Linked DNA regions of Macaca fascicularis. The protein of the gene in region 7 interacts with the protein of the main gene of each other region in a biochemical or structural test. Links are inferred from orthologs where the notes say so. Each region holds a gene or a part of one and is shown on either strand. Other genes may lie near its edges. The genes, in order: NCOA4, CDC34, NEDD4, HDAC4, NR0B1, TRIM24 and PPARG.

What was found.
Region 1: the proteins of PPARG (region 7) and NCOA4 form a complex in vitro, tested with the Homo sapiens proteins (2 studies listed by BioGRID, with this or other methods). The link is inferred for Macaca fascicularis from reciprocal best matches to the Homo sapiens genes PPARG and NCOA4.
Region 2: the proteins of PPARG (region 7) and CDC34 form a complex in vitro, tested with the Homo sapiens proteins (2 studies listed by BioGRID). The link is inferred for Macaca fascicularis from reciprocal best matches to the Homo sapiens genes PPARG and CDC34.
Region 3: of the proteins of PPARG (region 7) and NEDD4, one has a biochemical effect on the other in vitro, tested with the Homo sapiens proteins (2 studies listed by BioGRID). The link is inferred for Macaca fascicularis from reciprocal best matches to the Homo sapiens genes PPARG and NEDD4.
Region 4: the proteins of PPARG (region 7) and HDAC4 form a complex in vitro, tested with the Homo sapiens proteins (2 studies listed by BioGRID). The link is inferred for Macaca fascicularis from reciprocal best matches to the Homo sapiens genes PPARG and HDAC4.
Region 5: the proteins of PPARG (region 7) and NR0B1 form a complex in vitro, tested with the Homo sapiens proteins (2 studies listed by BioGRID, with this or other methods). The link is inferred for Macaca fascicularis from reciprocal best matches to the Homo sapiens genes PPARG and NR0B1.
Region 6: the proteins of PPARG (region 7) and TRIM24 interact in a test that uses a peptide from one of them, tested with the Homo sapiens proteins (2 studies listed by BioGRID). The link is inferred for Macaca fascicularis from reciprocal best matches to the Homo sapiens genes PPARG and TRIM24.

Annotation. Positions count from the first base shown.
Region 1 is NC_088383.1:59,187,097-59,190,596, forward strand, and holds part of NCOA4 (nuclear receptor coactivator 4), read right to left. Parts: intron 3,110-3,500; exon of another isoform or gene 2,921-3,109; intron 313-2,920; 5' UTR 299-312; coding exon 158-298; intron 1-157. UniProt on the Homo sapiens protein: Cargo receptor for the autophagic turnover of the iron-binding ferritin complex, playing a central role in iron homeostasis. Acts as an adapter for delivery of ferritin to lysosomes and autophagic degradation of ferritin, a process named ferritinophagy.
Region 2 is NC_088393.1:1,084,598-1,088,671, reverse strand, and holds the start of CDC34 (ubiquitin-conjugating enzyme E2 R1), read right to left. Parts: upstream 2,801-4,074; 5' UTR 2,629-2,800; coding exon 2,452-2,628; intron 1-2,451. UniProt on the Homo sapiens protein: E2 ubiquitin-conjugating enzyme that accepts ubiquitin from an E1 ubiquitin-activating protein, and catalyzes its covalent attachment to other proteins by an E3 ubiquitin-protein ligase complex. In vitro catalyzes 'Lys-48'-linked polyubiquitination.
Region 3 is NC_088381.1:32,286,887-32,290,386, forward strand, and holds part of NEDD4 (E3 ubiquitin-protein ligase NEDD4), read right to left. Parts: intron 2,518-3,500; coding exon 2,458-2,517; intron 2,376-2,457; coding exon 2,268-2,375; intron 1,331-2,267; coding exon 1,234-1,330; intron 1-1,233. UniProt on the Homo sapiens protein: E3 ubiquitin-protein ligase which accepts ubiquitin from an E2 ubiquitin-conjugating enzyme in the form of a thioester and then directly transfers the ubiquitin to targeted substrates. Specifically ubiquitinates 'Lys-63' in target proteins.
Region 4 is NC_088386.1:135,018,947-135,022,446, forward strand, and holds part of HDAC4 (histone deacetylase 4), read right to left. Parts: intron 2,810-3,500; coding exon 2,623-2,809; intron 1-2,622. UniProt on the Homo sapiens protein: Responsible for the deacetylation of lysine residues on the N-terminal part of the core histones (H2A, H2B, H3 and H4).
Region 5 is NC_088395.1:30,316,413-30,320,402, forward strand, and holds the start of NR0B1 (nuclear receptor subfamily 0 group B member 1), read right to left. Parts: upstream 2,801-3,990; 5' UTR 2,774-2,800; coding exon 1,606-2,773; intron 1-1,605. UniProt on the Homo sapiens protein: Nuclear receptor that lacks a DNA-binding domain and acts as a corepressor that inhibits the transcriptional activity of other nuclear receptors through heterodimeric interactions.
Region 6 is NC_088377.1:180,136,853-180,140,996, forward strand, and holds the start of TRIM24 (transcription intermediary factor 1-alpha), read left to right. Parts: upstream 1-1,344; 5' UTR 1,345-1,634; coding exon 1,635-1,998; intron 1,999-2,133; exon of another isoform or gene 2,134-2,378; intron 2,379-4,144. UniProt on the Homo sapiens protein: Transcriptional coactivator that interacts with numerous nuclear receptors and coactivators and modulates the transcription of target genes.
Region 7 is NC_088376.1:150,693,837-150,697,336, forward strand, and holds part of PPARG (peroxisome proliferator-activated receptor gamma), read left to right. Parts: intron 1-2,398; coding exon 2,399-2,849; intron 2,850-3,500. UniProt on the Homo sapiens protein: Nuclear receptor that binds peroxisome proliferators such as hypolipidemic drugs and fatty acids.

The DNA.
Region 1 (3,500 bases), on a different chromosome or scaffold from region 7:
GGCACCAGTGTATCAGGCAACTGACTGGGACCAAGTAGACCACGCAAGGCATGGGGTGAAATTTTTTGTTGGCACAGAGAAACCAAGTCCTTGGCCATGCTCTAACCAGCCCTGTGCCAAGAGTCCAGACAAGAGAAGAGAAAAGCACATGTCACACCTCTCGCAAGTTATCTTTAATTTGCTGTTCAGCCCGGAGAACTCCACCAATAGCAAGCTCCAAGTCCCTCCGTGCATCACTACACCTCAACAGGGGTTCTCTATTACTGGAGCTGCCACTCTGGTCTTGGAAGGTATTCATTCTCCTCACTGCTCCTTTAAAAGAAAAAAATATATATAAATAGCACCATAATTACAACCAAAAACCACCTTTCAATCATCCCTCAAATGATCATTCCAGCCAACTCCCATTACTAACTACTTAGATTACTTTCCAACACTGGAGCTAGCACATAAGATACTCTTAATAAATATTGTCTCCTCCCTTCCCTCTACCACTGTTCCTGCCATAAAACTCTAAAATCTACTTTAGTAACACTTTACATGTGAATAGCTATTTCTGGAAAAATACACTAATTGTCCTGAATCAACAGAGCATACAGTGTCCTGAAAAGTTAAAAGAACATTAAAATATAATTTTCTATTTATAACACACATATAGTCATATGAGGTATGTGTTCCTCTTTGTAGATTTAGAGATGAAGACTAAAAGGTACAGCTTATTACTTTGAAAATAAGCTGCAAACAATCAAGTTTAGAATACTGTTTAGAAGACGGAATTTTTAATTTCCCCCTTTACGGTAGAACTTTTTTTTTTATTTAGGAAGAACTTAAGAATTACTTCATAGCTAGGAAGCTCTCAAAAATATAACACAGGGCCGGGCACGGTGGCTCACACCTGTAATTCTAGTACTTTGGGAGGCCAAGGTGGGTGGATCACTTGATCCCACGAGTTCTGGACCAGCCGCGGCAAAATAGCAAGACCTCGTCTCTACAAAATACAAAAATTAGCCACATGTGGTGGTGTGCACCTGTAGTCCCAGCTACTTGGCAGGCTGAGGTGGGAAGATCACCTGAGCCCAGGAGGTCGCAGCTACAGTGAGCTGTGATCACACCACTGCACTCTAGCCTGGGTAAGAGGGTGAAACTCTGTCTCAAAACAACAAAAAAGAATACAACAGATATACAGATACATGTTTTTTATATAGAGAATATATGTAATATATAATATATAAAAGAATGTGCATTATATATAACAGATTATATGTGACAAAATGATTTCATATGATTCTCATATAAAGGAGAAACAGAAATTGGTAAATACAGAGTTCTCTAAAAAGCTTGGGTTTAGGAGCGATAGGAAACAGAAACGGGAAGAACAGCATTAATGATAAAATGAGACTGCAACACAAGAGTGTCAGTAAAGCCATGAAGTAAAACTTGACAAAAGCTACTGGAAGAACAATGACATGATTTTTAAACACTGAGAAAATGACAGCAGTGATTACTAGAGCTCAGAATAGGTTCACTAAGCCCTGTGATACCAGTTATTTCCTTTTGGATTGTTTTACTAAACCAGCAAGTAAAGGTAATGCTGTAGACACCAAGGAATGACAGAAGACTTGTGGCAAAACTGTATGATATCACTGTGGACAAAGTGAATATCAGCTAAAGAGAAGCACAATTAAACTGAATAATAAGATTATTTTTTACAAAATACTCAAAGGATGACAGACTAAGGCCAGTGTGTAAAGTTTTTAGAGGCACATCCCTGTTTTTTCTAATTACTTGTATGAAAACATAGAAGACAAACATTAAAGCTGGAGGTAACATGGGGCTGTGACAGAAGCATTTCCCAAAACAATCTCTACACAGCTGTTCAATCTTACAAAACAAAATGTAAGTTTTTCACTTTAATCAGGGAGGGCAAGGAAAAGAATATTTTCCACCGTTTTTAAAGGGTGGACATCTTTAACTGAAAGTAAATTCTCTATGAATTCACAGTGTGCTGGGTCTGTGGGAAAAAATAACTCACATACTATTTGACTACATTTACCAAAAGTATAGTGTTTGTCACAGGATTAACCTATTCCATGTTTATTAGACTAAATTCAAAACTTATTTCTGAGTAACACGCTTTAGAAGAGGACACTTAGAAAAGGGAAAGAGGCCTCAAAACCATGAAAAACTTCTCCAGGAAGGAAGGCTGTTTAGCCTAGATAAGAGACGTCTCCAGGAGGACATGATTACCATTCTCAAGTATGTGGAGACCTGTCAACTAGAAGAATTAAATTTGTTTGGAACAGACACAAGGGGGTAAAAAAGGTTAATAGGAGGCATGTTAGGCAATAAATAACTTCCTAACTGTCCTGAAAGCAATGACTTTCTCGGAGAAGCCAGCTTTGGGGTGAAAAGTGGCCTACCCAGGGCAGAGTCCTCCAAGTGGCTGACTGTCCATTTGAGACAAAGGAACTTTGCCAGGCCTTGACTGCATCTTTAAGACTAAGTTTAGGGCCAGATGCCTAGCTGAAAGCTGGATAGAGACAAAAGTGGTGAGTTCCTCCCTCAGAAATAATGTATTCTGAGAGAAGTGGGAAGAGCAGCAAAACAAACTTTCTGTCCACTATCTCAGCAAAAGACTCCGATTCAGGAACTAGAGTTTCTATAAGAAACAACAATTCAGGAAATTTTTAAACTTCCCCTTGCTGATTTTGTTTCATCAGTCTCTTTTTCCATAATCATCTCTTAAAAAGAAAGGGTTGCCTTAATTGGACTTCACAGAAATCCCTGTGGAAATTTTTCCAACCCTGGACACACCAACAGTGGTTACCTTGCATCCTCCTTTTGCATGCCATAAGCTGCCTGTGTTAGGCAGAAGCGTTAGTGTGCACTTGGAACTCACTGCAGGGACTATGAAAAATACCTGCATCACACGGGTGAAATGCTGACTCCGATTTGGAGAGCTGGAGTGTGACGGGCTGCTTCACTTTGCACTTAGGTCAGTCATGCAAGACATGTTTAGCAGTCTTTCAAATGTGTTACCCAGCCTTCTTCACCTGTGCCAAATTTCCCACTCTTAGATCCTCACCATTTGTGTGGAATGCCACAATGCCTAGCACAGTGTAAAATTTAATCAATAAAATTGTTGCTTCACAATGTCAAAACTCCAGAATTCCGGAACATACGGGAGACAAACTCAAACACATACAGTGCTGACTGTACTACTAGATTCCTAAAGCAAGTACTCTCAATTCAATCACAAGTATTAATATTACACAGTAAGAGTAGAATATAGCAAGAGTTCACACACTGGACTTTCCCCTTATCAGCTATAGACAGAATGTAGGATGAGATTTAAAAGTTACAAAACTGATTTTTCCACACACAGTTATCACATTTTTTCAAATTAAAAGGAGTGTTATCCTTCAAAAGTCATCTTGAGAACTCATTTGTCAGCCACGAAGAAAACCTGTTTCATTTCTTTATGGTAAGTCCCAGGATGC
Region 2 (4,074 bases), on a different chromosome or scaffold from region 7:
TGCTGGCAAGGACGGCCACAGAGGAAGGACTGCAGCCACGTGCCCGGTGACAGAGCTGTCTGGCCTGCGGCCTGGGGCGTGACGCCACCCACGGCCCTCCTGGGCCCCAACAGGTAAACAAGGAAGCCTCACTGTTTCCTTCCTGGGCCCCAGTGCCAGGCACGGGGGTGTCTGGGTCAGGGGTCCTGGTGGCACTCAGCACTCCAAGAGGCTGAGGGCAGCACCCCCAAAGAGCAGTTGTTGGCGAGGTCCTTCCTGGACAGGGAGGGCTCTCAGGGGTCTTGGGGGTGTCCTCTGTTTGACAGGGAACTCACTGGGGCCCCATGAGGTAAGGGACTTGGCCACAGCCACAGAGCAAGGCTGGAACTTCAGGCTCAGAACTGCCCAGCAGTTCCCCAAGACTCCGGGCCCCCCAAGCCTGGTGCTGGGTTTCCAGGCGGCCTCACCTGCACCGAACCCCACCAAGTCCCAACAAACCTCTTATTTTCAGCACCTCCAAACATGTCTTTTACCCGGAGCAAACCCAGGCTCCGAGAAGCAAAGCCCCCGCCGATGGCACACGGCAAGTCCGCCGTGGAGGGCTCTCTCTGGTGGCCCCTGCCCCAGGGCTCGCTCTGGCTCCTGAAGGAACAGCGGCTGCAGGCAGTGGCTGGGCAGCAGCGGTGGCCCTGGGCACTCAGCAGCTCCTGTATTTCCACGCTCCCCCAACTCCCTCCCAGGCACACGGGGAAGGGAGAGCCCCGGTGGGTGGCAGCACCCCCCCGCGTCTCAACGCTGGCCTCTGAGGACTGACCCTGCGGCAGATGTCTAGAGGCCCCCTCCCCAGGAAATCCGGAAAACCGGATTATCCCCTAATGCTGGTCCAGGAGGCTCTGCCCACAATCCCTGGCAACCGGTCTGGTGGGCAGGAGCCAGGAACCCGCATCCCTTCCTTCCAGAACAGCAGCCGCCTCACAGGCCTGGCCTCGAGGTGGGGCCGCCCCTGCTCACAGCCAGCTGCTCCCCCAAGCAGAAAAAAGGGGCTGGGGGAGGGGGCTGCTAAAACCATTTGACAACCTCAAGGCTCAAACTCTGTTCCCTGTGTGGGGACCCACGATTCCAGATGCACAACCCACGGACGTCCCACCCTCTGCCGTAACCCAGAACCTCAGCTCAGGAATCGCCCCCAGCAGACCAGGCTGCTGCCCTCACAGCCGCTGAGCGCGCGCGGTTCAGACATTAATTAGCCCGGAGAGCACACGCTCTGAGAGGCATCGGTCCCTCGGCCCCATGCCCGCAGCTGGCCGGGGCAGAGCAGGCCCGGCTGTGCCCAGGCTCTTGGCAGGCAGCGACAGCGGGAGGGGGGATTCCTGGACAGGGTGCGCGATCCCCACCTCTCACACGGGGCCCCTCACTTTGTCCCTCTGGCCCCAAGGACGAGGTCCTGGAACTCTACAAGAGCCAAAGGTCACGTCTGGATCGTGAGATCAAGAAAACTGGCCAGGCTTTGGCCTGAGTCCTTTCCACACTGGACAGAAACAGTCTCCCTGCTCCCAACGGCAACAAAAACATCAAGAACCTGCTTGGAATGAAACCGCCAGAGGGCAGAAGGAATGGCCCAGAACTCGGGGTTGGGGTCACAGGAAGCCACCTGTTCAGTGGAATCTGAGAAAGGCCAAGGCCAGCTGGGATGAAGCAGCCCGGAGCTTCTGAGGTCGGGGTCCGGGACGCGGGCCGGAGCCGGGGGCCCGGGGAGAGCTGCAGGGAGCAGGTGGGAGGGACGCCCCTGCCTCAGCCTTCCCGAGGGCGCAGGTTACATAAACCCGGGGATGGAGCCCAGGGCGCCTGGCCGGCTGCTATCGGCAAGGGTGGCCGCTTTCCAGGCAGGGCCCGGCTGCCAAGGCTCATCCGGGCCTTTGTTGGAGCCTGAGCGAGTGGCCGCGCCAGCCACCCCCAGGCTGGCCTCGCTCCCCCGCTCACAGGCCCAGCTCCCCAACAATAGCAGCTGCGGGGTCTGGGGGGGGCCTCTTTGTCTCCTCCGGGGAGGGCGGGGAGGGCAGCAGAAAGGCCGGGGCGGCCTGGGCTCCGCTCCCTCTTTCTCGCAAGGGCGGAGGGGGAGGCAGCCGGGGTCGAGCCCCCCCCAGGAAGGAGGTGGGCAAGAGCCCCACGCGCAGATGATACCGGGAGGGCCCCGGGCCACCCTTCTGCGGGCCAGGAGACTACCCGGGGACCGGACGGTGCCTTCAAGGAAACTGAGAATTCTCGGGGACCGCAGCAGAGGCTGAAGGTCCCCGGGACCGTCCGAGGAGGGGGCCGGGCACAGCTGGGTGGGGAGACCCGGCCATAGAAGGGAAGCGAGCCCAAGCCAGGAGGCTGCCGGGCCCGCCCGGGGACCGCGGGGCAGGGAGCTGGTTCCTGGCGCCCGAGGTCGCTCGTGGGCTCAGGGACCCGGGCGGGGGTCGCCGCGCTCACCTTGAAGTAGCCGCCCTCGTAGTAGGTGTTGGGGGGTCCGAAGATGGCCACCTCCCAGTTGTACAGGTCGCCCTCGTCCACCAGGGTCACGCGGAAGCCCTCGACCGGCTCTTCCTGCAGCCCCTTGAGCTCCAGCAGCAGCGCCTTCTGCGAGCTGGGCACTAGCGGCCGGGCCATGGCGGCGGCGGAGGGGCCCGGGGTCGGCGCCGCGCGGGGCCGCGCGACCACCGCGAGCTCGCGAGACGGGCCGGGCCGCGCGCCGTCCGGGGGGGAGCCGCCGGGGCCGCCGCCTGCCTCCTCCTCTGCGCCGCCGCCGCCGCCCGGGGACCCCGAGCGCTCCACCAGCTCTGGCGCCGCCGCCCCACCAGCGCTCGCCTTGGCCCGGCCCGCGCGCCCCGCCCCCCGCTGCGCCTGCGCGCTCCGCCCGGCCCCGACTGCGCCTGCGCGCCGCGGCCAGGCCCGACCTGCGCCTGCGCGCCCGCCCGCGGGGCACGCCGGGAAGTGGAGTCCCGGTCCCGGTTCCGCCTACCGCGCCGAGCGCCGCCGCCGGGAGGGAGGGTTCGAGCGCGCAACCCTGGGCGCTTCCGATCCCCGAGGCCGCCGCCGTCGCCCCCAGCTCGACCAGTACCGCGGACGCTGTGCGCACGGAGGCGGGCAGGGCTGCTCTGGCCGTGGCTGGCCCGGTCCCCCAGCTTTGGGGTCGTTTTGTGACGTCCCGGCGTGGGGCGGGGCTGCGGGCGGTGAACGGGGCGCGGGGCGAGGTCCTGACCGGGGCCGGAGGGGCAGGGCCGGTTCCCCCGGCGCGACCCCGCGTCCGCGCCTCCGTTTCCCCGTCTATACAGGGGACGGGCGCTGAGTCTGTCCTGGGGCGCGCTGGCCTCGCGGAGGGGAGGAGCGGGAGCGAGGCGGGGTGTGCAGACCCGGCTTCCAGGCGCGGCGCTGCCTCGGTTCCCCCGACAGCGGGAGCTCTGAGAAGTGGGCGAGGTCGGGGAGGGCTCTGAGGGCGGGAGGGGGCGAGGGCTTTCCTGGTCCCCCGTTGAAGTCACCATGTGGTGTGAGGCGGGTGCAGGTGCTGGAGCCATCAGAGGTTGGCAAGGTGCTCCTGCCCCCCAGAGAAACTGGGAAAGAGGCTCCCCCCAGCCAGCATCGGCTCAGCACCTGACCCGGGAGAGGCGCCAGCCCCACGGAGCCCCCACCCCAAGCTGAGCCTGAGCCTGGCTGTGCCCTCCTCCCAGCCTGACCTCTGTCCCACCCAAGTCTTTTTTTTGAGACAGTCTCGCCCTGTCGCCCAGGCTGGAGCGCAGTGGCACAATCTCACTGCAGCCTCCACCTCCAGGGTTCAAGGGAGCCTCCTGCCTCAGCCTCCCGAGTAGCTGAGATTCCAGGTGTGCGCCACCACACCCGGCTAATTGTGTCTTTTTAGTAGAGATGGGGTTTCACCATGTTGGCCAGGCTGGTCTCGAACTCCTGACCTTAAGTGTGTTAGGTTTTGGAAGGAAGGGGAGGGTGCAGTTTGGAGTAACAAAGTGATCCGTCTGCCTCGGCCTCCCAAAGTGCTGGGATTACAGGCATGAGCCACCGTGCCCGGCCCCCCAGAGTCTTGACCCCACCTGACTTCTGACC
Region 3 (3,500 bases), on a different chromosome or scaffold from region 7:
CAAATTCAGCTTAGCGATTTCCTAGGCAGCAGTCCCGACTTCTAATCCCCAGGACAATCCTAATCTTACTCGTTGTTCTGAGTAGGGTTCCCACTTCAGCTACATCCTTTCTAAAAGATTTATTCTTGGATTCTTGGTATCCTTAAAAGCAAGTAAATATCATTCCAATAAACAGAATATGAATCAATGTGAGAAAAGTTGCTGCAATCTACATCAGAAACGGCACTTTTAAACAAAACACACCTCCAGTTTTGTACATCAACTGAAAAATAATTTGATAGAATACACAGAATCTTACTTTACTGAAAACTGCATTAACTATTCTAAAAATCAAGAGATATGGGCACTCTTCTCCCCAGTCCCGGTGCTCCCCCCAGGAAATGAAAAATAGTAGCCTAACGAGATTCTCTACCCCTATCTTGAAAGGAAAAAAAAAAAAAAAAAGATTTCATGATCAAATAAGTTTGGGAAACAATGCTTTTGTTTTCTTCTAACAGTAAAGGTTCTACACAAGTCCTGAAGAAATCCATTTAACTTTGTTTAGTCCAGCATTTCCCTAAAGGTATTCAACTTGAATACACTTAGTGACATTCTGTGAAACTTCAAATGCTATCCTGAACTATCACATGAGAAGTAATGCTTTTTCATTTTTTTGAGACAGGGTCTCAGTCTGTCACCCAGGCTGAACTACAGTGGTGCAATCTCGGCTCACTGCAACCTCCGCCTCCCGGGTTCAAGCAATTCTCCTGCCTCAGCCTCCCGAGTAGCTGGGACTACAGGTGCACACCACCAAGCTCAGCTAATATTTGTATTTTTGGGTAGAGATGGGGTTTCACTGTGTTGGCCAGGCTCGTCTTGAACTCCTGACCTCAAGTGATCTGCCTGCCTCGGCCTCCCAAAGTGCTAGGATTACAGGTGTGAGCCACCCCTCCCGGCCAAGGTAATGCTTTTTCTGTAACTGACGCACACGGGGCATAGAATCTGAAGTTAAAGAAGGGAAAGTGACTCGTAAGTCATTTGATGTTTCCAGTTTTCCCCTTTATTATCTGATTCGAAGGTGCAAATATATTTTAGCCTACTCTAGTGTCTCTAATGATATCACTTTCAAAATCTTAATTCTTTTTAAAATTAAGCTAAATGTTAGTAAATGATGGAAGCGTGAGGATTCATCAGCCATGAAAAAGACAATAGGCATCACTCCATTTTTTTTAATGATCTATGGAAAATCCTTACCATATAGTTCAGCAAATCCATTCATAGGCACCCGAGATGTGCCAGTGACAAACTGAAGTAATCTTATTCTTTTTTCTGAATCCATCATTAAAACAGCCTGAATAAGATAAAAACATCATTTAGGGAACAGCACTGGGAAAAAGGTAAACAAATTATCCTGAAACATAAGCTATCAGAATTTAGCTAGAATAGTAACAATCCCTTACTAGATGTGGATGTTTCTTTTAGTTAAATTTTTATTTATGGGTGGGTTATAAAGTTCTTGAAAACTTTATTTGTAAGGCTACATGGCAACTTTTTAGAATGGGATTATAACCTAATGAAGTAACAAAATTTCTCTTGAGATATGACTCATGACTTTTAAAACTTATATGCTGGGCGCAGTGGCTCATGCCTATAATCCCAGCACTTTGGGAGGCTGAGGTGGGCGGATCACTTGAGGTCAGGAGTTTGAGACCAGCCTGGCCAATATGGTGAAACCCGTCTCTACTAAAAATACAAAAAAATTAACCAGGCATGGTGGTGCATGCTTGTAATCCCAACTACTCGGGAAGCTGAGGCAAGAGAATTGCTTGAACATGGGAGGCGGAGGTGGCAGTGAGCTGAGATAGCACCATTGCACTCCAGCCTGGGAGACAGAGCGAGACTCCATCTCAAAAAACACATTATATTAATATTATTGAATGGCATACACATTTCTCTATGAGACATTTTAAAAGAGCCACTCAGGAGTCCCTAGGAATACCCTGTAGGTTATTACAAGTTCTTTCAGAGTCCCTACTTTAGTAGAAAACTAAGTGCCTGTCTCAGCCTGTCATTCCACTTACTACCTTCTGAACATTTTACTTACCTAGTAATGGTTATAGACCCAGAAGGTGCATGTATACGGTACAAAATCAAAGATCATTTTTGCTGGTCTCTATATTTTTCTGTGTCAGTTAAATGTAATCCACCAGTATAGTTAATCAAGAGTTGACTTAAATATGATTCAATCTATCAAAAAGTAATTTACGAAAAGAGAAGTTTCAAATTACCTTCCAAAACCACTGTATAACCTGATGATTTGCACTGTAGCCATTTTTATACTTTGTATGTTCCCTCCAGTCATTCACATCGACATCTCCCAGTCCACACATAAGAAGCTACGTAAGAAATGTCAAATTATAAACAAGGAAAATAATGGGTTCAAAATTTTCTGTTTCAACATAAAATGTTATGTCTTACCTCTAGTTCATTTTCATCAAAAATTTTGATGAGATCCTGTGGTATTAGTTCAAAGAATCCCTAGAAAAAAGATGTATTTAAAAACCTGATGGGCAGGGCCAATGGCCTTTCCTATGCTTCAGCTTCCGGGTGCCACTGGAGGAATCCCACAGACACACAAGTTTCTACCGCTACACAATCACGGGCTCTTCACTGAGATCTCAATATTGGCCAGAAAATGTACATGTGCACAGTCTGTTCTCTCATTTATTCCTCAAAGTGGCTATTTTTAAAACTTCCTGTGGCCAGGTGCGGTGGCTCATGCCTGTAATCCCAGCACTTTGGGAGGCTGAGGTGGGCGGACTGCTTGACTCAAGGAATTTGAGACTAGCCTGGGAAACATGGTGAAACACCGTCTCCACAAAAAAATACAAAAATTAGCCAGGCATGGTGGTGTAAACCTGTAGTCCCAGCTACTGGGGAGGCTGAGGTATTCCAGTCTTGGCGACAAAGTGAGATCCTGTCTCAAAACAACAAGAACAACAACAAAAAACAAATTTGCCATCCTTCTCAAGCCTCCACATCACCCCTTCTTTACCGTAGGTAAGTGTAAGTTCTATTTGAGGGAAAACAGAGGCAATTATGCATGATGGAACTCCCTCAAGCTTCTGCATCCCTGTGTCCCAACCATCACCAACACCCATCATGGCCTCCTTCCCGCCGCAGTGGAAGACAGAAGTGCCACCTCTTCTTTCAGGCTAGGCCTGCACCTGTGCTTCACCTGCTCCGCAGGGAGGTCATCTCACTAGATCTCTTTCTCTTTATTGGCTCACTCTGTATGCATTTAAATTTGCTCAAGTCATATCTACCTTTAAAGCAAACAAACAAACAAAAAAACAAAAACAAAACTAATGACCCTCTTTTTCCCTTCACAGGCAAGTTCTTGACAGTGTTATGCACTTAGCATATCCATTCACTCACCTCCCATCTAACACTCAACCCACTGCAATCGGACTTCTATACTACAGCTTCCTTGAAATTGTTCTGGAAAAAGTCAAAGACGG
Region 4 (3,500 bases), on a different chromosome or scaffold from region 7:
AGCTCTACCACGGCCCCTTTTCACAAGGCCTGGTGACATCTGGCAGGAGGGCTGCCCCGAGGCCCTGCTGGGATGTGTCTGTGCCTCACACACCTGGTCTCCCAGGACTTAACAAAGGGAAGGCCAGGCTGGGTGAATGGATGCCTTCAGCAGGCAGGTCACTACCCAGGGGCACCTATGCTAATGTGGGTTCACCCAGGTGGATAAGGGCGGGGCACTTGGTGAAGAGCCTGGGCAAGCTGCCCAGACGGACCCGCTCTAGCGCTTCAGTGTGCTGGCCCAGGATGCGGTCCTCCCCACATATGTTCCCATTACTGGGAACAGAGGCAGCATCCCCAGCCAAGGGGAGCTGAGATTCAAGGTGGTCCAGTGTTTGCAGGGTCCAGCTACAGGATACTCTTGGTGCATATTAGTTGCCATACTTCCTGGCTCAGCCTCTTGTGAGTCAGACTAACAGGAGTCAGTCTCCTGCACTTGAGGAATTTTGGGGATACTTGCAAAACAGTGCTGGGGGACAGGACTTCTGATTAAAAAAAAAAAAAAGCAACAGGGTAGGTGCAGGCTTACAGGAGTCAACGAATCTAGGACTCACAATCAGTACACTGTGTGTGGGCATGGGTGTGCTCGGGAGTTTGTAATGGCAACACAGACACATAGGCAATGACGGACACGGTGCCATCAAATACACAGGTGTGTGTGCAGAAACAACCAGTTGCTCATGGATACGAGGAATGGGGACGGCCCCTTTCAGTGGAATCATGATGATAAGGTCACATGTGCTAATATTACTAAGCACACGGCTGGAACCTATGAGGCAGACACCCGCTTTACTGCCTTTAGAGACAGAAAAGCTGGAGCGCAGAGAGATGGAGAAGCGGTAAAACCCACACAGCTGAGGGTGGCAGAGCCAGCCAGGAGACTACGTGGCTAAAGGAACGTGCTGCGTCGCTGTGCACGGACACAGGAAGATGGCTGAGAGTGTGAGGTACTAACAGAAAGCATCAGACACAACAGAGTCCCGTCTCTGTGAAACAAATTATGTTTGTGTCTATCTGTCCATCTGGCTATGCACAGAAATAGATCTGGAAGATTTAAACCAAATACTAACAACCTGCCACCACTGGGGAGCGGGATTACGGGCAAATGGTATTTCCTGTGGGTTTCTATCATGTTTGTTTCTTTACAATGAACACATACTGTTTTATAAATTTGTTTAAAAAGTAATGAAGACAAACTAAGAAAGGACAACGACGAAGTGGGACTCCCTGGAATTCTCCTGGGACCAGTCACGGTGGGCCAGCTTAGTGGGCGAATTCCCGCCTTGGTGGCGGTGACTGGGGTCCCCCTTGTCTGAGCTGCATTCTTTCAAGAACACGCTTACTGCAGTCACCTGCCGAGGACTTGTGGAGTGTGGCGTGTGGCGTGTGGCGTGTGGAGTGTGGCGTGTGGAGTGTGGCGTGTGGCGTGTGGCGTGTGGAGTGTGGCGTGTGGCGTGTGGCGTGTGGCGTGTGGCGTGTGGCGTGTGGCGTGTGGAGTGTGGCGTGTGGAGTGTGGCGTGTGGAGTGTGGCGTGGGCCATCTGGCTGCCTCTGTGACCTTCCACAGTTTTCTTTCTGCTTTTCTTTCTGAGAAGCAGCATTTTACTTGCTGGATTACTACTATGGAAATTTTTCTCTGAATATGAATAGCATCCTTCTAAGACCTGAGAGTGAGAACTTTGCAGACTGCACAACACTAAGCCATGTGATGAGAATTATCTGAAGAATGAAGCCATGCTGTATTTACAGAACTTTTTTCTTAGTGCGTCATTAACAAGAAATATTAGATCAAAACAATATGAAGAGCTCTCCTGCCTCCGTGCTTGTCTCAGAGGCAAGCCCTGCCAGAAGCCAGCCCTCCTTCCCGCCTCCCCCCTGCAGGGGTGGCTGGGCGGCGGGGCGGCCCGGGACAGCAGTCTCCTCCCTGACTCCAGGCAGCTCCAGGCAGACGAGTCCAGGGCCCAGCCCCGCCTGCCTCCTCAGCCGTGGTGGACACCTCGCTTGCTTCCTGACTTCTGGTGGGGTACCGTGCAGGGAAAACCAAGGACCCCTGCCGGCAGGTCACCTCCCTGGGGTGAGGATGGTACGAGGGATGGCACAGACAGATGTGTGGCTCCCGCAGCATGTCCCAGGGGTCCCGGGCTCTGCTCTCGTGTAATCATGGCCCCCCACCAGCCATTCACAGTCCTGCCACTGGAGCCTCAGAGTCAACGCTGTGGACGTGGGTGAAGTATGAGAGAGTAAGTGGAGAAGTGTGGGCTCGTGATTCCTAAGCCGGACCAGAAGCTGTAGGCTCTCATGGCCCCACGGGCATGGGCTGTGGACTGTTCTTGGAGGAGACCATGGGTCTCTGGGACAGGAAAGGTGGGCAAGTGAGCCCATGACAGGCCCCCAGAATAACAGAACTGAGGGTGTAGGGCGTGGGGCAGGGAGAGGGCCTCCATGAGAGGCCTGTGTGGTTCCCGCCCTCGTGCCTGCCCAGCCCCTCAGCCTCTGCAGAGCTGGGCCCGGAGTACCCCCCGCCCCGGTCTGTGCCCACTGTGGCCCGCGTCACATCCTCAGGCTGCACAAAGGCCATCTGTTACCTGTCGTGAACCTCGGCTTGGTGGGGGGCTCCTGCACAGACACGGGAAAGGTGGCAGATGCCGGTGAGGACTGCGCCCGGGACAGAGGCCTGTGACTGCCGAAGGACACGGGGATGCCGGCAGCCTCCATGGACGCCTGGTAGTTCCTCAGCTGGTGGATCCGCTGCTGCTCCAGCAGGAGGGCTTGCTGCGGGGAAGAAACGGCCATGTTGGCGGCTGCAGGCACCTCCCACGGCTGGGCTGCAGGGCTAGGGGCTGCCCTCTCTTGCAAGTCTCCCATCCATGCACAGGCCATACACGGGCCACAAGGATGCTGGGAGGCCAGCTGCGTGGAGAGGCCTTCCCTGTGAGTGCCCTGAAGCCTGAGTGGGCCCAGAGCCGAGAATGAGGCCAGCACGGGCTCTGTCTCCCAGGATGTGGCTCTTTCTAGGGAAAGCAGGTTGTCCACATGGGATCCTGCCATGGGCTTCATCAACAGGATAACACAGGCTGAGTCACGGGGTCCCAGGGAGGCCTAGACAGTATGGGGTATCAACGAGGGCTTCTCTGAGGAGGTACTGAGCCAGGAGCAGCCTGGATCAGGTGCAGGGGAGTGGGGCCTGGCAGGTGTGGAGAGAGGCTCTTGCTGGGGCGGCAGCCTGGCCCTCGCTGGTTCCACTGGGAGATACGCGAAGGCCATGCAGATGTGGGGACCAGAGCACCCACTCTGCCACACCACACACGGGGACCAAAGCACTCACTCTGCCACACCACACACGTACAGTGGGTGGGCATGAAGCCTCGCCCCCTTGTTGGGTTTGTGGGTCTTAGTTTTGACCAACAGCACTGAATCTGCACACTAAACTTGGGTGAGAAAGCACCCTTGATTCTCAGACTTG
Region 5 (3,990 bases), on a different chromosome or scaffold from region 7:
GTCACAGATGATTCTCAAGATAATTTGGAAAACAGTCTTCTTATTCCTTCAGCTAGTATTATTAATCATCCACTACGTTCCTTGTCCTGTTGGGATATAAAGGTGAAAGGGGCTCACCTTCCAGAAATTTACATTCCATTAGTTTCAGTATCAATAGTTTCCCTCTTTCCCTTGACCCTGTTTTATATACTTTTAACACACACACACACACACAGACACACACACGCACACTTCTTCCTTGTTCTTGATTGACTTTTCCTAATCCTTTCTCAGTATGAGTTTAACCAGCTAAGCTGAGTGTGTTTGAAACTCAAATGTACCTATATTGGGGAGAAAGGTAACGCCTATTGAGACTGTGGCCTCTCTTTGCTGTTTGTCTTTTGTATATCCCATATAATAAATTTAAATATATTAAATATATATATTAAATATATTTATATATATTATGCACTCTCAAAAATGCTAGGCAGGGGGCCAGGACATAATCAGAGATTCCAGCACCAGGGAAAAGATACAAAAGGAGCATTATGGAAACTATCCCAACTCAAGTTGCCTGGAAAATTTTTTTCCACTTCAATCATTTCAAAAGGACGCTGGTTGAAGATGATTCTAGTAGAGAGAAACACCCAAGACAAGGTGCCTGGCTGTCCAGGGAGATGTTCCCCCAGTGATTTGGTTGCACCCTGTGGGACAGTGTGTCCTGCACCCAACAGACAACCTGAAAGTTTGGTGCAGCCGACATCCCACAGGGCCCAGAAGATAGGACCCTCAGGTGCCACAACACACCAGCCATTTACTTTGGAGTAAGGTCACTTGGGACCTTGGGACACATCCACCTACACAGTAAAATGCGGTGGGGGAAGGTTACAGAGCAAAGGGGGTTGATTAGGAGGTCTCTAAAGTCTCTTTGAATTCTAAAATACAGTGTTCCTGCTCTCAGTCCCTAAAGTGACTTTTTTTTTTTTTTTTTTCTTATCCCTTTGCCAACCTGATATTCTTCACAGAGATTTGGAGGAAGGGATAGTCCAGATGCTTAGGACCATACAAATAACCATTCAGAGGCAGGCCTATGAAACACTACATCCAGTGTACTGTCTGACAGTGTCCCTAGGGAATAGTCTCTCTATGGGACCCTTTAACAAATGTTTCCTTTTTTGCTAGCCCTAATAGATCTCCTCCCCCCAAAAAAAGGTTCTAGTAAATTTCAGAATGGAGTTTCAGAAATCGATGTCGCAGAATCTTCAGTGAGCAAAAACTTTTTTTAGAAAAAGATATGCTCTGGACTTCAAAGAAAGCTAAAGAAAGAATAACCATTTCCCATGAAGGCACAAACTTTTCTGTAGTAAGAAACGTGTAAAGAGCTAAGTACAAACCTAAACAAACAACTCCCCTCCTCTTGGCTGAGTTTCTGACAGCAGCCCACTCAGGAGAAGTGGTTCCTGGAGCCCCCCACCCCAACTCTGCTGAGTTAGTCATGATTTCTTCACCTTTGTCCCGACACTCTCCTGATCACTGAAAACTCCTTACTGCCCGCGCCCCTAGATAGGCACTGCCTGATGCTTTTGTGAGCTGGGAAAAGCCGGCGCCCAAGGCCAGTACCCTTACCCGGGTTAAAGAGCACGGTCCCCTTGAGGTAGGCGTACTCCTTGGTACTGATGTTCAGACTCCAGCACTTGGAAAGAAAGCACTTGATGGCTTGGACCTGGGAGGCGGAGGGCACCTTCCTGGCCTCCGCCGGCGGTGCCAAATGGGGCTGCAGCGTGGACACGGGCAGTGGCTCGTCGCCCCCGGTCTCCCGCCGCCTGGTGGTGAGGATCTTCTGCAGCATGCTGGGCTCCGAGACTTCTACAGTCTCGAACTGCAAGTGGTCCTGGGCCAGCTCAAGCATGAGCAGGGACGCCCAGCAGTTGCGCACCAGCACCAGCTGCTGGTCCAGGGGCAGCACCTGGAAGCAGGGCAAGTACTTGACAAAGCGCAGCGTCTTCAACAGGCCAGCTGAGGCTGCCTCGCAGACCACCTGTGGACTCTTGAGCGCCACTGGCCGCAGCGCACCAGAGGAGGTGTCCCACCAGGGGGCCCTCGGCCGCTCCTCCGGAGCCGCCTGCACTTGATTTGTGCTCGTGGGCATGCAGTAGAGGGTGCTGCCCTGCTGCGGGTGGTCTTCACCGCAAAAGCAGCAGCGGTACAGAAGCCCCATGACCCGCCCGCCTGGTAGCGCCTCTCTACCCCCTGGCCTCTGCGCGAAGTAGGAGCGGTCCCACCACGCGCCCACTGGCCGTGCCTCGGGCGCTGCCGGAGCCACGTGCGTTTGCTTTGCGCTAGTGAGCAAGCTGTAGAGGATGCTGCCCTGCCGCGGGTGGTCTTCACCACAAAAGCAGCAGCGGTACAGGAGTGCCACGGGCCGCCCACCCGGAAGCCCCGCTCTGCCCACCCCGGGATCAGAGCCGCACGAACAGCCCCAGCACGGACCCAGCGTCGCCTCGGGCGCCTTCGGTGCCGCGTACGTTTGCTTTGCGCTCGTGAGCATGCTGTAGAGGATGCTGCCCTGCCGTGGGTGGTCTTTACCGCAAAAGCAGCAGCGGTACAGGAGCGACACGTTCCGCCCGCCCAGCAGCCCCTCTCTGCCCACCCCGGGCTCATCGCCGCACGAACAGCCCCAGCACTGATCCACCAGCCGCGTCTCTGGAGCCTCAGGAGCCGCGCGCGTTTGCTTCGCGCTCATAAGCATGTTGTAGAGGATGCTGCCCTGCCACTGGTGGTTCTCGCCCGCCATGGCCCGCGGCTCCTGCAGCCCGGTTCTGCCCAGTGGCTGCCTCCTGGGACCTATTTATACCTAGCGCGCACGCAGGCGCGTCGGCCGCCTCGGTCTGGGCAAGGGCGCGGAGGCGGGCAGGGGGGGCGCGGTGCTGCGCTCCGGTGTATTCGCCCATGACCTCGGTGGTTCGAAGGGGCGGGTGTTCTTTAAAAGCTGAAAATGGAAGAGGAACAGCAGCGTGGGAGCTCCTGGACACTTCCCTCCTTCCTCTCATTACCCCTTTCCCTGTCTCTCAGGAAGACCGGAGGAGAGCGAGCGCCTGGATGCTGTTGCAACTCTTTCCATTGAACCTCGCATCTAATTTGTTCCCTTTATTGGGAGGGTAGGGGAAAAGAGGAAACATCTACTTCTATGCTCTTTGTAAACTTTCATTAAATTTTCACAGTTTGTGAGACTCATATTTGTATATGGATAGGGAGGTCTCATTTTCTGAGACCTTGAAAAATACAGAACATAGACAAACATCATATGGGAACTCGGTGGAAATGCCCAATGTCAGGCTCCAACCAGACTTTCTAACTCTGAATCTGCATTTTAACGGTGTCCCCAGGGATTCACATGCACCTTGACGTTTGAAAAGCACTGGTCTAAATATGCTAGCATAAGCGCTCAGTTTAATTCCATCAGTATTTATAAGCGCCCACTATGTCCTGGATGCTGTGTTAAGAGAGCTGGGGGCAGCGAGCAGGTTGTAAAAGTGCCTAAAACTTAGGAATATAATAATCACGAGGGGATAATATTGTTACAGTGAGAATCGTTTTCATTTTAGTATATGGTTTTTTTTTTTTTTTCTTTTAACTTTTAGGTTCAGGAGTATATGTCAGGGTTGTTATATAAGTCAATTGCTTGTCGCGGGGGTTTGGTGTACAGATTATTTCGTCACCCAGGTAATATAGTATCCAATAGGTATTTTTTCTCATTCTCTCCCTCTTCCCACCCTCCACCTTCAAGTAGGTTCCAGTGTCTGTTGTTCCCCTCCTAGTGTCCATGTGATCTCTTTATTTAGCTCCCACTTACAAGTGAGAACATGTGATAATTTGGTTTTCTGTTTCCGCGTTATTTCGCTAAGGATAATGGCCGCCAGCTCTCATTCTTTTTCATGGCTGCAGCGAGAAATTTTGATCCTTGTAAAAGTATTCCATTGGTAAGTGTGTAATTAGCATTTCTTTCCCCAC
Region 6 (4,144 bases), on a different chromosome or scaffold from region 7:
CTAAGGTTTAAGAGCTACTTCCATGCAAAAAACAAAACAAAACAAAAAACCCCCAAGCTTAAACAGCAACCAATGGGGGTGGGAGGGGTGGCGGGAAGAGCCGTTGAATTTCATGTGATTAAGTAAAAGAATTTCTCACTTGAGGCCTGCGGAGATTGTGTTTAAGGGCAAGGTCTCGAAGGACGGCTACGTTGCCTAGCCCTCCCCCATTGTCATCCTATGTAGTCCTCCAGGAAAATTGTGATTTTAGCAAAGTCTTTCATGACCCACTCCATCTTTCTCTAAAGTCCAGTACCGCTTCATTCGTATTGAAAAAAAAAAAAACAAACTTATATACACTTCTTAAAGTTACGTGTTTACAAAAGCTTGTTTCCTCCACTCCGTTTCTATTCTTCAAGTTCCTTAAAAGCTGCGCCATTTTTTGAGTGAAAAATGTGCTTAACTTCTGATATCAGCATAGAGAGGTGAGGGAGGGAGGGAATAAAATAAGAGGGAGGGAAGAAATAAAAAAGAATCTTGAAGTTATGAATTATTTGGGGATCAGTATTGAGGCTTATTTTTACTTAATGATGCTATATTTATGCAATAAAAACATTAGCCAATCTGTATTAATTCCTGGGAAAACGAACCTTTAGTCACTTTAAAAAGCACATCACTGACTTTGAAAATTAACTTCACCTTTTTCATTGGGGAACCCTTTAAAAATTTCCAACTTGCACAAGAACTTCCCTCCCTTATTCTTCATACTCAGTCATTCATTCTAAAGATGAGTAAAATTAGGTTGCAATATCCATGCTGCCTCCAGAGTACCTCTTTCACACAGTATTTTTAGAAAATTATTTCCTTGTTTGCTCTTCAGTACCTCCACTCCTTCCTCCTGTGACCCTCCTACCATATTTACCCCTCCTACAAGACCAGGTCTCCAGTAATGAAACGAGTTTTCCAAGCAGTTACTTAATTAACGGCATAGAGTAGACAAGTGAGGTCCCGCCCCCTAGGAGGAGCTAACACCCCGGACCGAATCAGGCGGATGGTCGATAACAAATGAACCCTCAATCTTTTCAGAGGAGAAAACACACACAAAGGCCCAATCAGAGACCGCGGCTCCAGGAGTCCAGAGGGGGCGGGGCTGGACAAGCACCACCCACTTCCCAACCTCCCGCCGCGGCCGACAGAGCCTCGCGGGCTCCGACAGGTCCCGCCCCCTCGCCAGGCGCGGCTGCTATTGGGCGGCGGGCTCCTCGCCGAAGCCTCAGTTGCTGGGAGAGGGAGGGCGGGGGCGGGGCCTGAGGTGGGCTTGGGGAGCGATGAAGAGAAAGGCGGGGAGGTAAGGGCGGGCTGGGCGTATTCGACGAGCGCAGCGGCGGTTGGCGTAGCGGACGGGGTGCAGCCTCCCCGGTGTGAGGAACGGTCTCCGCTGACAGATCCCCTTCTTCCGGCCGCGCCACTCGGGAGGCGGATCCCCTGGGCCTGAGGAGGCTTCCCCCGCCCGGCTTGCTTTCCCTCCCTCCCTGGCGCTGCCGCGAGTCCACCGAGCGGCCTCTGAGGAGCAGCCGCAGGAGGAGGAGGAGGTCGTCGGGGGCGGCGGGCGAAGACCGCGCTCTCGCTTCCCCGGCGGCGGCGGGGGCAGGACAATGGAGGTGGCTGTGGAGAAGGCGGCGGCGGCGGCGGCAGCGGCCTCGGCGGCGGCCTCCGGGGGGCCCTCGGCGGCGCCGAGCGGGGAGAACGAGGCCGAGAGTCGGCAGGGCCCGGACTCGGAGCGCGGCGGCGAGGCGGCCCGGCTCAACCTGTTGGACACTTGCGCCGTGTGCCACCAGAACATCCAGAGCCGGGCGCCCAAGCTGCTGCCCTGCCTGCACTCTTTCTGCCAGCGCTGCCTACCCGCGCCCCAGCGCTACCTCATGCTGCCCGCGCCCATGCTGGGCTCAGCCGAGACCCCGCCGCCCGTCCCTGCCCCCGGCTCGCCGGTCAGCGGCTCGTCGCCGTTCGCCACCCAAGGTGAGAACCGGCTGCGGCCGCGGGGGAGCCCGGGGAGAGGGCCGGGAGGGGGCGGGCGCCCTTGTGCAGCGCGACCCGCTGTCATGTCGCCGCCGCCCGGGGTGCGCGGCGGGGGAGGGGCGAGCAGGAGGGTCTGTGCTGGCGACGGTGACATGGAGGGCCCGCGCTCTGCGGCGTGCTGCGCTCGGCCAGCAACTTCCCCGGGCGCTGTGGACTTGACCGCGCCGCCGCCGCTCCGCGTTCTCTACAGCCGGGCGGCCCCTGCCAGCCGCACTTTTGCAGACCTCTGCGGAGTCTCCTGCAGCCGGAATCTCGGGTTCTTTGCCGCCTGCATCCAGTTAACTGCTACCCGCCCGCTGCCTCCACAAAGCTTTGTCCAGGTCCATATGATCCTGATCATCTCGTCTATACCCACGTTATTTGAGCTGGAGGGGAGAAGGGAGGGATGAAGATGAAGTGATGGTGACTTTCTTTCATGACTGATTGCAGATCGGATGTCATTTATTTCTTATTTTGCATGTTTGGGGCTCTTTACCTTAATGAGTTCCCAGTTCTTTTCCCTCTCCTCTGCTAGGGACAAAGGAACCAAGAGACGTTGTTTTGTTGTGTGTCTCTTTCAAGGGTTTTATTTTGAGACGGTGAAGAGAAATAATGCAAAGTGATTTGGGGTGCAGGGTTTCCTGGTATTTTATAGATAAAGCTAGAAGTTACTCTTCTCTTTGTGGTGTTTATTACTGTAGAATTAGACTTTTGACAGGTGTTCCCATTGCTCACTTTAACAGGTTTGAAACATTTAAAGTAAGTTTAAGTGGATACGGTTTTGGGTAGAACACTTGGCAGTTTTTAAATTTTATTGCAAATATTTGAGCACCTCTTTTTAAAAAAATACAGTGTAACTGGAAGAGCATTTTTAATACTTTTTAGAGGGAATAGTTGATTTAGTTTGAAATAAAACGCTAATTTTACGCTACGTTAAGGAAGTGTGAAATGGATACTTTAGATTGTGGTCCGAGACTCATTTATTTAACTGCATGTTAGGCCCAGTATCCACTTGTAGGAGACAGTTTTCCATGCGTGTCCGTTTCTTCACTCTTGCCAGCACCCTTGCCAGGAAGATACTGACTGCCCTTTGTTTCTGTTTTTCACGGATATTATCTAAAGAGCAGCCTTCGATAGTGTCTTCCACCAGAGCAAGAGGCAGGGATACGTATTATCCAGTATAATAAGAAGAATGTCTCCCTCTGGAGCGAAAGGGTAGGCATGCTTACTGCCCATCTTAAAAGATTAGGGTTCCCTAAGCTTAGGGTTCCTCTCCTGTAGAGAAGGAACTGCCTGTGTAGATGTCAGCTGGCTCTCTTCACGTTGACCAGTGGGAACCTGGAGTTCCGAGAACTAGTGCAAAAATCTTGATGCTTTGGCTTATGCTGTTCCTGTGAGTAAAAAACAAACTGCCCTGTGTCTCTGACCCTTGAGTGTCTTCTATCACCATCCGTGAAACTGGTAAGGTTGTTAGCTTGCAAGTTGAACAAACTCTCAGATCCTTCACACTAGTTTGCTCTGAAGAGGCCCACTACTGGAAAGTTCGAACAGGTGAAAGCTTAAACCTTAGTTCTTGTTTCTTTGTTTATTTTGAGACGGAGTGTCGCTCTTGTTGCCCAGGCTCAAGTGCAATGGTGCGATCTTGGCTCACCGCAACCTCTGCCTCCCGGGTTCAAGCGATTGCCCTGCCTCAGCCTCCCGAGTAGCTGGGATTACAGGCATGCGCCACCACGCCCGGCTAATTTCGTATTTTTTTTTTTTTTTGGTAGAGATGGAGTTACTCCATGTTGGTCAGGCTGGTCTCGAACTCCGGACTTGAGGTGATCCGCCCACCTTGGCTTCCCAAAGTGCTGGGATTACAAGTGTGAGCCACCGTATCCCGCCTGTTCTTATTTCTTAGACGCATTTTAAGGTTGGTTTTTCCTTCCTCCCTGCCTACCTTCCTACCTTCCTACCTCGCTTTGTCCTTCAGGCTGGAATGCAGTAGCACGATCTCAGCTCACTGCAACCTCCGCCTCCCGGGTTCAAGCAATTCTTGTGCCTCAGCCGGGCGCCACACCCGGCTAATTTGTATGTGTGTTTTTTTTTAGTAGCGATGGAGTTTTGC
Region 7 (3,500 bases):
TCTCATGACATTAAAGAAAGCCAATAAAGGCTAGTTGTGGTGGCTCACACCTGTAACCCTAGCACGCATTTAGGGAGGCCAAAGCAGGACGATTGCTTGAGCCCAGGAGTTCAAGACCAGCCCGGGCAACATAGCAAGACCTCATCTCAAAAAATGAAATAATTTTTTTTTAGAAAAAGAAAGTCAGTATTTCATTAATATATATTATAATACACTATAAAATGCCTGTAGAACAAAGAAACACGTTTTCTCTAGGTTCTGTGACAGCATCATTATCCATTCAAATTTTTCTCATAATTAGAACCTGACATTCTGGAAAAATACAGTAAATTTTCATTGATGTTACTTGCTCTGCCCCCCTTTTATTTCTCCCATTAATAATATTAATCCTGAAAAGAAGAAAAGAAAAAGGAAAAAAACCACCCAAGCGAAATGTTTAAGAAATACGGTACGGACAGTTTGGTCCCTTGAAAAATTAGAGCCACCAGGTAAACCTGTTCTGGGGTCCTCACATCTGTCCCCTTTTGGAGTTTGGTAAGTAGTACAGTTGAAGTGAATTTTTTTGTAACAAAAGTAAAAACTTCCAGAATAACTCCAGTAAAGGGTGTTGACGTGACGTACAAGTTTGGAAATATATTTAACATCTGAGAGTCCTTAATGTTGGTGTTACTTCCTCCAGTATAGAACAAACTTAATCTTTTGATGAAAATCATAGAGTTCCATAGATATGAATAGAATCTCCAACCGGTGCATCTTGAAGCCAGCTGCCACGGCCACTCATGCACCTTCTCTGTGCCCATTCAGGAGAGAATTCTCAACATCTCTGCTCAAAACAGTGTTTACTTTTAGTCTATCAGAGACTTCATGTTTGTTGTGCATGCACACTCACAGCTCTCCACACACATGCCCACTCCCCACACACATCCTGCTTCTGAGAAATACAACTAGAATTTCCTCTGGAGAAGAGGTGGAAACCCCTGATTGAGAAATTTAAGGCCTAGGAAAGGTAAATGACTTTTCTTAAGTCGCATAGTTCACCACAGAACCAAAGCTAGAATGCAGATACCCTCAGCTCTTCTTCCAGTGCTTTCAGGTATACAAGTATTTGAACAGGATTCAAGGTTTAACTCCTTATGTGTCTTTCAGTGTATCCGGTGTAAGTAAAATGTTGCCCCTTAGAGCAGCCTTGAGAATTTCTCAATGACTACAGACTTTGGTTAGTTCTATACAAGGGAAGTGAGAGAGAGATAATGTCATGACCAAATGACTTAACTTTTGAAAGCAGCCTATTGCAAACTTAAATAACTGGGGCATGTATTTTATTGATTGACCTGTAAGGACAGATATTTTAAAATGTAAATTCAAAACTGTTTTTTGCAGCATTCACCTATAGGCCTTCTATATCTGCTCTTTGTGAAATAGATGGCTTCCAGAGCATTAAAAAAAGAAATAGACATTTTCTTGGTTCAATAGCTCTAATCTGCTTTCAGAGTGATTTTTTAATAGTTAAGCATATTTTATGTGCACATAGTTTCATTTGCGATCTGAGAGGATTTCATCTAAAACTGAAAAGTTATTACTCGTGAAGGAGAACAAAGGAAAAGGAAAAAAAAAGTTTAAGAAAAAAAAATTGTTTTAAGCCTCTAAAGTTGCTTTATGTTCAAGTGGGTATTTTCAACCCTGAGTTGCTGAAATGATTTTTTATTGAAAGAAGGTTAAAAGTGTATTTCATTGAAAGCCAAGATAAACAGTAGATTTTGTATCATTTTAAAAATCAACAATTGGCTGGGCATGGTGACTCACGCCTGGAATCCCAGCACTTTGGGAGGCCAAGGCGGGCAGATCACTTGAGGCCAGGAGTTCAAGACCAGCCTGGCCAACATGGTAAAAACCTGTCTCTACTAAAAATACAAAAACCAGCCGAGCGTGAAAGTGTGTGCCTGTAATCCCAGCTACCCAGGAGGCTGAGGCATGAGAATTGTTTAAACCTGGGAGGTGGAGGTTGCGGTGAACCCTGATTGTGCCACTGTAATTCAGGCTGGGCAGCAGAGCAAGACTCTGTCTCAAAAACAAACAAAATAAATAAATAAATATAAAAATCAACAGTGAAGACTCCCCAAACAAAAGAAATTGGGATTCTTAGCCAGTCATAGGTAAAGTGTTACAGTGTAAATTAAAGGGAAAGAAGACCAAAATTGGTGAAATTTGTTTGGTCCCAGAAGATAATTAAGATGAATAAAAGAACTTGAGAGTATTTTCTCATTATTAAGCATCTTCAGCTTTAAAGATTTTAGTTAGCAAAGCAAGTTTACATAAAGAAACAGTTTTCTGAACTGGGATGGCATTCACTAAGTTAGAAATCTCCAAGTCACCCATGTTTTCCCTGTTTTATTTGCAGCCATTCGTTATCTATGACATGAATTCCTTAATGATGGGAGAAGATAAAATCAAGTTCAAACACATCACCCCGCTGCAGGAGCAGAGCAAAGAGGTGGCCATCCGCATCTTTCAGGGCTGCCAGTTTCGCTCCGTGGAGGCTGTGCAGGAGATCACAGAGTATGCCAAAAGCATTCCTGGTTTCGTAAATCTTGACTTGAACGACCAAGTAACTCTCCTCAAATATGGAGTCCATGAGATCATTTATACAATGCTGGCCTCCTTGATGAATAAAGATGGGGTTCTCATATCCGAGGGCCAAGGCTTCATGACAAGGGAATTTCTAAAAAGCCTGCGAAAGCCTTTTGGTGACTTTATGGAGCCCAAGTTTGAGTTTGCTGTGAAGTTCAATGCACTGGAATTAGATGACAGCGACTTGGCAATATTTATTGCTGTCATTATTCTCAGTGGAGGTAAGATTTGTCTTTTGATCCTCTATGAAAGAGGGTGGGATGATGGTGGGATGGCCAAAAGAATTTTGGATTTCCTTATTAGTCTGCGTTCTTTGTCGCTTTAAGTGCCAATGGCATAATGCCATGAATCACCTCTACACGTGCAAAACACTGTACCAAGAAAGAGTATCATAAGTTTGCAGTATGAAAGTTATGAGTAACCCAGGATCTTCTCTTTCTTCCCTCAACAATATAGTTTTTCCAATCAAATGCCCTCTTCTTTTTCTTTTCTTTCTCTCTTTCTTTCCTTTCCAGAAAGGAAGATTAGAGGCCAATCTAATCTTTGGTTCCTGTAAGTAATGGCATGTATAACTTTGCTTAAGACAATGCTTACTTGACGTAGAGAAGGAACTACTAAGTGTTTCTGGTCAAATCATGCTCCTGCCCTTCCAACAGTAAGATACTACTTTGAATTGCTTTCGTGATATCAGGAATTAAGGCATACCTACTGACCTCCACCCACTCTCTTGTGTGGATTCCTCTGATGGCTTCCCTTCAAAATACCTTTGTGAGGTAGTTGGTTGTGATTAAGAATGCAATCTGAACCGAACACACAACATAGAAATAAATTTAGTTATTTAGCAATTTGTTGTATTTTTGGCCCTGCAAGTA